2 linked regions of the Oryzias latipes genome follow. The protein of the gene in region 1 purifies or fractionates together with the protein of each later gene. This does not show direct contact. Links are inferred from orthologs where the notes say so. Each region holds a gene or a part of one and is shown in the gene's direction. Other genes may lie near its edges. The genes, in order: mpdz and plekha2.

What was found.
Region 2: the proteins of mpdz (region 1) and plekha2 purify together in Homo sapiens (affinity purification with western blotting; 3 studies listed by BioGRID and IntAct, with this or other methods). This does not show direct contact. The link is inferred for Oryzias latipes from reciprocal best matches to the Homo sapiens genes MPDZ and PLEKHA2.

The regions. Positions count from the first base shown.
Region 1 is NC_019876.2:9,329,773-9,333,596, forward strand, and holds part of mpdz (multiple PDZ domain protein), read left to right. Parts: coding exon 1-99; intron 100-190; coding exon 191-412; intron 413-2,384; coding exon 2,385-2,546; intron 2,547-3,353; coding exon 3,354-3,506; intron 3,507-3,824. UniProt on the Homo sapiens protein: Member of the NMDAR signaling complex that may play a role in control of AMPAR potentiation and synaptic plasticity in excitatory synapses. Promotes clustering of HT2RC at the cell surface.
Region 2 is NC_019867.2:13,485,834-13,489,632, reverse strand, and holds part of plekha2 (pleckstrin homology domain-containing family A member 2), read left to right. Parts: intron 1-593; coding exon 594-725; intron 726-871; coding exon 872-961; intron 962-1,028; coding exon 1,029-1,097; intron 1,098-1,191; coding exon 1,192-1,262; intron 1,263-1,790; coding exon 1,791-1,854; intron 1,855-3,799. UniProt on the Homo sapiens protein: Binds specifically to phosphatidylinositol 3,4-diphosphate (PtdIns3,4P2), but not to other phosphoinositides. May recruit other proteins to the plasma membrane.

The DNA.
Region 1 (3,824 bases):
GGGATAGGATCTTCCTTGGCAATGTGGGAGTTAGAGATCCAGAATATTGAGCTGGAGAAGGGAGAAGGAGGATTGGGATTCAGTATTTTGGATTACCAGGTGTTAAAATCCTCCGTGATTCTCATGAGTTGCTCTTTGGACGCCTGCATTTATCCTTGTTTGCTGTCGGTGCAAACCCCTTTCTGCACAGGACCCGCTGGACCCTGCCAAGACGGTGATTGTCATCCGCTCTTTGGTCCCAGACGGCGTCGCCGAGACGGATGGCCGACTGTTGCCAGGAGACAGACTCATGTATGTCAATGACACAAACCTGGAGAACGCGAGTCTGGAGGATGCCGTCCAGGCCCTGAAGGGGGCCAAGCTTGGCAAAGTCCAGATTGGCGTCGCCAAGCCGCTGCCTGTAAGCCTGAGTGTTAGTATCCCGACTTTTGTCTTTGTTTCACACCTATCTGAATTTAGAGATTAGGCCGTGATGAATGTGCGCGCTTTTATGATTGTTGCACGTGTGTAATTGTGCAGCAGAATAAGATGGATCACAGTAGTTGTGTTTGATGTGGAGCTGTAGTTTGTATCGTAGCTTCCAGTCCAGTGTTCTCAGCTTACATGAGCTGAAATTTTGATGTGGGGAAGAGAAGGTGAGGTTGGCTGCATGGAGTTGAATTTCTCCCAGTGTTCTTGAATAATTTGCACCTTTTGCTTCCCTCAATCAAGTTTAAACTGTTTCTTAATCTGTCAAACCTCTGGGGGGCCACATGTATGAAACTTTACATGATGAGGAAAAAGTCTGAGGACTTGCATATTATACACAAACCGTATTCTCCGCTCTAGCAGGTGCACCTAAAAGACTGTTCATTACCTTCAAGTCTGTGTTTTTACAAGATGGAAACAGGTTGCATGGAATTGCTAATGGGCTAACGGGCTAACTTGTAGCGGTGTCAGGCTGTGTTTCTTTTTTTTACATGCTATAAACAAAGTTGGAAGTTGGTGTAGTCACAGTTTGTTTTAGTGGAATTATTCTGTTTTTTACGTGTTACAAAAAAGAGTTGGATTTACAGGTATTAATGCGGCTAACACTTCTTACCTGACTAACGTGTAGCAGTGTGAAACATGTAACTAGCAGGATTGGGAGTTAGAATTGTCGCAGTAATGTTTGTTTTAGCTGTATCAGTCTGTGTTTTTACAAGATGGAAACAGGTTGGATGGAATTGCTAATGCGCTAACAGGCTAACTTGTAGCTTGTAGCTTGTGTTTCTATTTTTTTATTTTTTTCATTTTCGTTTCACCAACAAAATTCCTACTTAGTGTGTCACAGTAACGTTTCTTTTTATTGAACACAGCTCTTTTTATCCTAACACCTCTAACGTGGCTAACGTATATATATATATACTGACCAAAAATATAAACGCAACACTTTTGTTATTGCTCCCATTTTTTATGGTATATACTCAAAGATGTGAAACCTTTTCAACATACACAAAATAACCAGTTCTCTGAAATATTGTTCACAAATCTCTCTAAATCTGTGATAGTGAGCACTTCTCCTTTGCCAAGATTGTAAAGTAATGTAGTCAATCCCGATCAAGAAACTCTATACAGTTTTCAGGAAGTGCTGGGGGCCTGGGAGCTAAGAAAATTTTCCTACAGGCCGCATTTGGCCCACAGTCCGGACTTTGGACATGCATGCTATAAGCCATTGGTGCCACTTTTGTTCTTTTTTGGGAGTGTTTCTGTCGGTTTGAAATTCTTATGTCTGGGATTCGCAACCTAAGTGTGCTCCCTTGAAACGTCATTGGTCCCACAGCACAGAAATAAATGAAGAACACTGTTAGACTTCATGGTGCATTTGTTTAAAAAAATATATCTTTAAAATTTACAGTGATTTAAAACACATTATGTTGACTTTTAAAAAGATTTATACATGTGGCCCCAACGCTGTTAGTTTTTGCATCCGCTTGTTTTATTGGTTCAGGGTGTTTCTTTCTTCAAAGACAGTTTGCATTCTTTTAGCTGCAGAGCTGCATTTTCTTTTCTGGTTATTGAATCAACCGCGTGAGACCTCTGGGCGGCCAGGGTTAGCCAGCTCACACAACCCATAGGGAAGTGCTCCGGGAGGGGATATTTCGCTTGCACGGCCTCTCAAAATTGAACCTGACGCGTGTAATCCTCCATATATTTCCTCTCGCTTCCTCGTGCATCTCTCTGGCACTTGCATGCCCCACAAAATCAAAAGCGCCAGGAACTTGAAGCCCAACTGCGTAGAGTTCAAAAGCTCCCAAATTCCTAACAGTCTCCATCTTCATTTCATACTAATTCATTCTTTATATTTGATGAAATTCACTTATCCAAAAGTAGAAAGACTGAAAGCCTTTCTCCCACTTTCCTAGGGAATATGTGGATATTCCCACTCTCTACACCCATATGGTGACCAGAAAGTAACTCCATCTTCCATCATCCATCAGTCATTTGACTTCAGCAATGTTTTGATTGAAGAAGGAGAGGAGGAGGGACTGGCTGAGGGCGTCCTTTACCGAGCTGAACCTGCATTGGTTAGTTAGTTAGCTGTATGAAAAAACAAAAAAAACAAAAAAACGGAAATGACTTTTTCAAATGATTAAATAAGGTTGAATAAAGAACCATTTTTAAAAGTCAATCACAGTGGTCCCTCGTTTATCGCGGGAGTTACATGCTAAAAGTAACCCACGATAGAAAATCTGTTATTCTCAAAACAGCCGTCTGTTCTTCGTGAACAGATGGTCGTAGCGTCTGCTTAGCTAATTTGCAAACAAACAACACTTAGATGTTGTTCCTTTGTACACTGTGAGGATGAAACACTTGTTGCCATGGATACACAACACTAATTTGACTTTGGTGTCTGGAGTTTTTTATTTTATTTTTTTTTTTTTTTAGACACACGCAGACGTAAAACAGCTAACGATATCGGTAAAACGGGATTCACGCCAGATTTTCACGGAAAAAAAGCCTATATTTGTTAGTCCGATGTGTCATTATCGGATAAAGTTACTTGATAAAGTAGGATTACTTGTGAAATCAGATCACCAACTATATTAGTGTTGTCCATGTGACCATTGTATTAGAAAACATCCTGTCAATAAATGCGCGGAAAAACGAAGAAAAAAAATAAAAAATAAGAGAAGGCAAGCAACATGGTAAACAAAACAAAACAAAAAAAATCTGAGAAGGAGTGAGACCCCTAAAGGTATAACGCGATATAGCGAGCGACCACTGTATACAAAATCAAACGGTTTGTTGTTGTTTGGGTACACCTTGATTTAAGAAACATTAGCATCTTTTCTTTATTGTCTCGACTTTGACTGGACAATACATCGTTGCAGATTGATCCTTGTGAAGGAGACCTTTCTGATGAAAGGATGTTAGATCACACCTACTCGGGGGTAGAGGAGGACACTTTCCAGGTGTCCATGATTGCTCTGCATGGGAGTGCCTGCAGCACTGACCTGGATTATCTGCAATCATCCACACCTAAGGTAGGCACATGCTTTGGGTTTGGAGGATCTTTCTTTGATGTTTATGCTACATTTTTTACAGAAATACTAGGGAGGACTTTTTCCAAATGGGACATGCTTTTAAACTTGATATACAGACACTAACCCCTCCCCCAGTGAATTCTTAAAGTGTGTTTTGTATTTTAATTGTGCTAAAATGTAGATCAGATCAAAATTAAGCACACTTTCTTTTAGCAGGCACATGGCCACTTAAAACACAATTTGACTTAAAAATCAGCTTCAAGCCAAAATGTCATTTACTCAGTAGCCTTAAGTTATGAGAAAAATAAACTGCATCCA
Region 2 (3,799 bases), on another chromosome or scaffold:
TATGTATAAGTCTGTGGCTGTAATCTAGTGGGAGAGTGTGAACAAAGATGATGGGAAGTCAGGGTAGGCTTACTCTGCACCAACAACTCGGAGGTGAATTTTTAATGAACTCCTGCCGCTCTGCACCAGCAACGTCTTAGAAAACGACACCGTTTTAAAAAAAAATTTGGTTAAAAATGGCATAATCATAATCAAAAGATCAAAAGACGATTGAGGTGTGACTTAAAACAAACCTATTTACTAGTTTACATCTCATTGCTGTTTTAGATTGATGGTAAATTCTGCAATGATTTCTTCTTCATAAAGATTTTTAAGTTTCATATCGGGTCTGTGAATAACAGAGCATCTCATGTATTTAAAGCAAAGGTCTGGTTGATTGTACAGTGATGTTTAGAAATTTTAGACCTCATGATCTTTAGCAGTTTGCAAGTCTTTGTGAGCAGTTGAAGAACTCACATGCTACTAACTGAGCTCACTTCAACTTCAATTATGAGTTTTTCTTTCTAATCTAACATCCAGATCTGCCCTGTTATAAATAATCTTTCAAAGTGCTGTGTGGGATTTTGTTTTAATATTACACGGCTGGATTACAGGTCCCCAAGTATTGCCCCCCACCAGTGAGACCTGATGTGACCCCTGAGATCAACGTGACTCACAAAGGGAAGAGGCAGCAGGCCTACAAGACTGAGATCATTGGCGGCGTGGTGGTCCACACTCCCATTCAGGTGACTTAAAGACCAAACTGTCTAAGCAGCAAAAATCAGAAATCCTTTACTGTCATTGTTACACAAGAATCTTGTGACATCTTAATGTAAAAGAACGCAACAGTTTTTTAATCCATAACTTTTTTTTTTCCTCGTAAATGTTTCAGAATGACGCTGAAGAAACAAATGGGAAGGAGAGGAAGGGGAACAGGCCTGGTGTGTTGAGATGTGGTTACTGTGTTAAACAAGGAAATGTGGTGAGTGGTCAACCTCTCATAACACAGTAACTGTTTGTCTGAATAAATAAACCGAGTGTGTTTGCAGAGGAAGAGCTGGAAGAGGCGATATTTCACCCTGGATGATAACGCAGTCTGTTACTACAAGTCTGAAAATGTAAGACAGCAGAATTACAGCTTTTTTTTGTTTTGTTTTGTTTTGATGTCTGTCATTGATGCCGTTAAGTGACAGCGGTGTTTGTGTGTCCCAGGACAAGGAGCCCCTCCGAGCTGTTCCGCTGAGAGAAATTCAAAAGGTCCATGAATGTCTCGTCAAATCAGGGTGAGTCAGACATGAATCACAGTCAGATTTTTTCCCCAGTTTAGCTTCTTCTCTGTCTGGTTATCTGTCTCACAAAAATAGAAATCAAATGCAGTTTTTGGAAATGACTTACCGAAAATGCCGAAAACAAGTGTGTATATGAGCTGCTGCAGTGTGAGTGTATGAAACTTATATATCATCCAACAACCTCTGACTGTCTTTGCAGAGCTTCCCTCATGTTGATCAGGCCTTTCACCACGTGATTCAGCAATGAATGTGACTGAGCACAGCTGATAGTGATAACTTAAAGAATTCATCTTTTTTTTGTGTGTGAAGATTTTAAGTTTGCTGACAGAGATTAAATCTTATTTCTTTATTCTTTATTGCTTTCTCATCACAAAAACATTTATTTTGTCAAAATCCTTAAAAAAAAGTTTAAACGTAAATTATTCTTTTAATGAATTATTTATTTCATTTTCAATGTTAAGACATTACATAACAAAACCTCGAACACTAACATAGTCATTTTTCACTTTTTCCTCCTGTTAGGGATCTGCTGCTCAGAGACAATCTTTTTGAGATCATCACCAGCTCTAGAACGTTCTATATCCAGGTAAAAAGTCTTGCTTACAAACATCTTTTTTTTAAATCCTGTATTTAATATCATTACAATGTCCTGCTGCTTAGGAAGAAAATGAAAAACAGCACATGAAATTTTTCTGCTGCATCTGTCCTGATGTGTTGACATGTTGTCTCTGAATGCTCTGCTGCTGATGTGAGACCACCGCTCCTTTTTTAGGACCCTACACAGTTTGTTTTTGTGAAAGGAGCACAGCCATGTGTAACCATAACAACAACAATAATATTCTTGCTCCTCTTGGGAGAGCAGCTGACTGATCAGATGGGAAGTGCTTTGGAGAGAAAGAGGCCGACTGAGAGCACCAGAGCTTTTATGTTTATCTTTGCAAAAAAGAAAAAAAAGGGAAGTGTGAGAAACATTTAGTAAGCTCAAGTAAACATGTCAACTGAAGATTTTGGTCCCATTCTGAACTCTTGTTTATACTTAAAAAAATAGTTAACACTTCTCAATACAAATAATTATTTGGTTTTGATTGATGTAATAACCCAAAATCATATATATTTATTTGTTTTTTAAAAATGTTACATTGTTTAACTCGGAAAGGGGGGGATAAGATTATTGCATTCTGCATGAACGAACAAAATAAAGTGATTAACGCTGAAAGAAGTTTTTGTTGAGTGTTATGTAAGACTTGAGGTTGAAATGGCTCATGATTGCTACAGAGCTCCATAAGCTGATGGTTAAATAATAAAAAAGCTAAGCTGAAGCCACAATCAAATGCTAAATTGGTGGCAAAGATGAAAGAGATTCTGATTCTCTGTTGTGGAACAGATTAAAAAAAAAAGCTGAAGTTGATACAACGATTTTTTGGGCGGTTCAGATCTCACTCTCTCAATTGGTTACATATTGGATGGTCATGGTGCAGAGGTAGACCGGTCGACCTCTGATTGGAAGATTGCAGGTTCAGTTCCCACCCTGCTTATGTGTTGAAGTGTCCTTGAGCTGGACACTGAACCCCACATTCCTCCTGGTGCTTATAGATTGGCACCAGTGTTTGGCAGTGGAGCTGCCATCAGTGTGTGAATGTGTGTGTGGATGGGACTGCAACTTAAAAGCTACTTGGGCCATCTGAGAAGGTAGTAAAGTGCTAAATATACGCCATAGTAAACTGTCGGCCTTCTTTCACTACAAAGGCTGTGATTAACTCATCTTCCACCTTTGACCCCGAAAAATAAAAAAAAAAGGTTTAGAAAATGGGAAGAGAGCGACATGATGATGTTCATTTAATGCTAAGCTAACAGCACAGAAACATTATTCAACATTAAGCATGCAAAAAATGAAAAAATGAAAAAGTCAAATTTAAATGGTGTTTTTTTTAACTTATTTATTCCCAATGAGGTGTATGGGCTTTGAAAATATAACATCCAATTTTCTTTCTTTCTTTGTTCCATCATAGGTGAACAAAAATATATATTTCTGCCACAAGTGATCAAAATTGGAAGAATTTTAATTCCATTTCCAAGTCGTGGTGTCACTTTAGCGATTTAAGTTTTATGCTTATAACAAATGTACTACTGAGTCTGCGTGGGGGTGTTGCCACAATGCACAAGCCCGGATTTAAATGCCAATTCAAGTCAGTGAGACCTAAGTCCATCTATCCTTACATTTTCCATTTTGCAAACCCGCTGAATGCTTGTCAGGGTCACGGGGTTGATGGAGCCTACAGCAGCTACTGTTGGCCAAAGGCGGGGAACACTCTGGACAAGTTGCCAGTCTTAGGGACAACAAATAGCATATGAAGCATGTTTTTGGACTGTGGGTGGAAGCTGGAGTGCCCGGTGAAAAACCCACACATGGCACTGGCAAAATCGGGAAACACACAGAAAGGTCACAGCCAGAATTTGAACCAGGGCCTTCTCAGTTTGAGGCAAGACTGAGGCGAGAGTGCTAACCACTAGCACTCTTGCCTCACAGGACA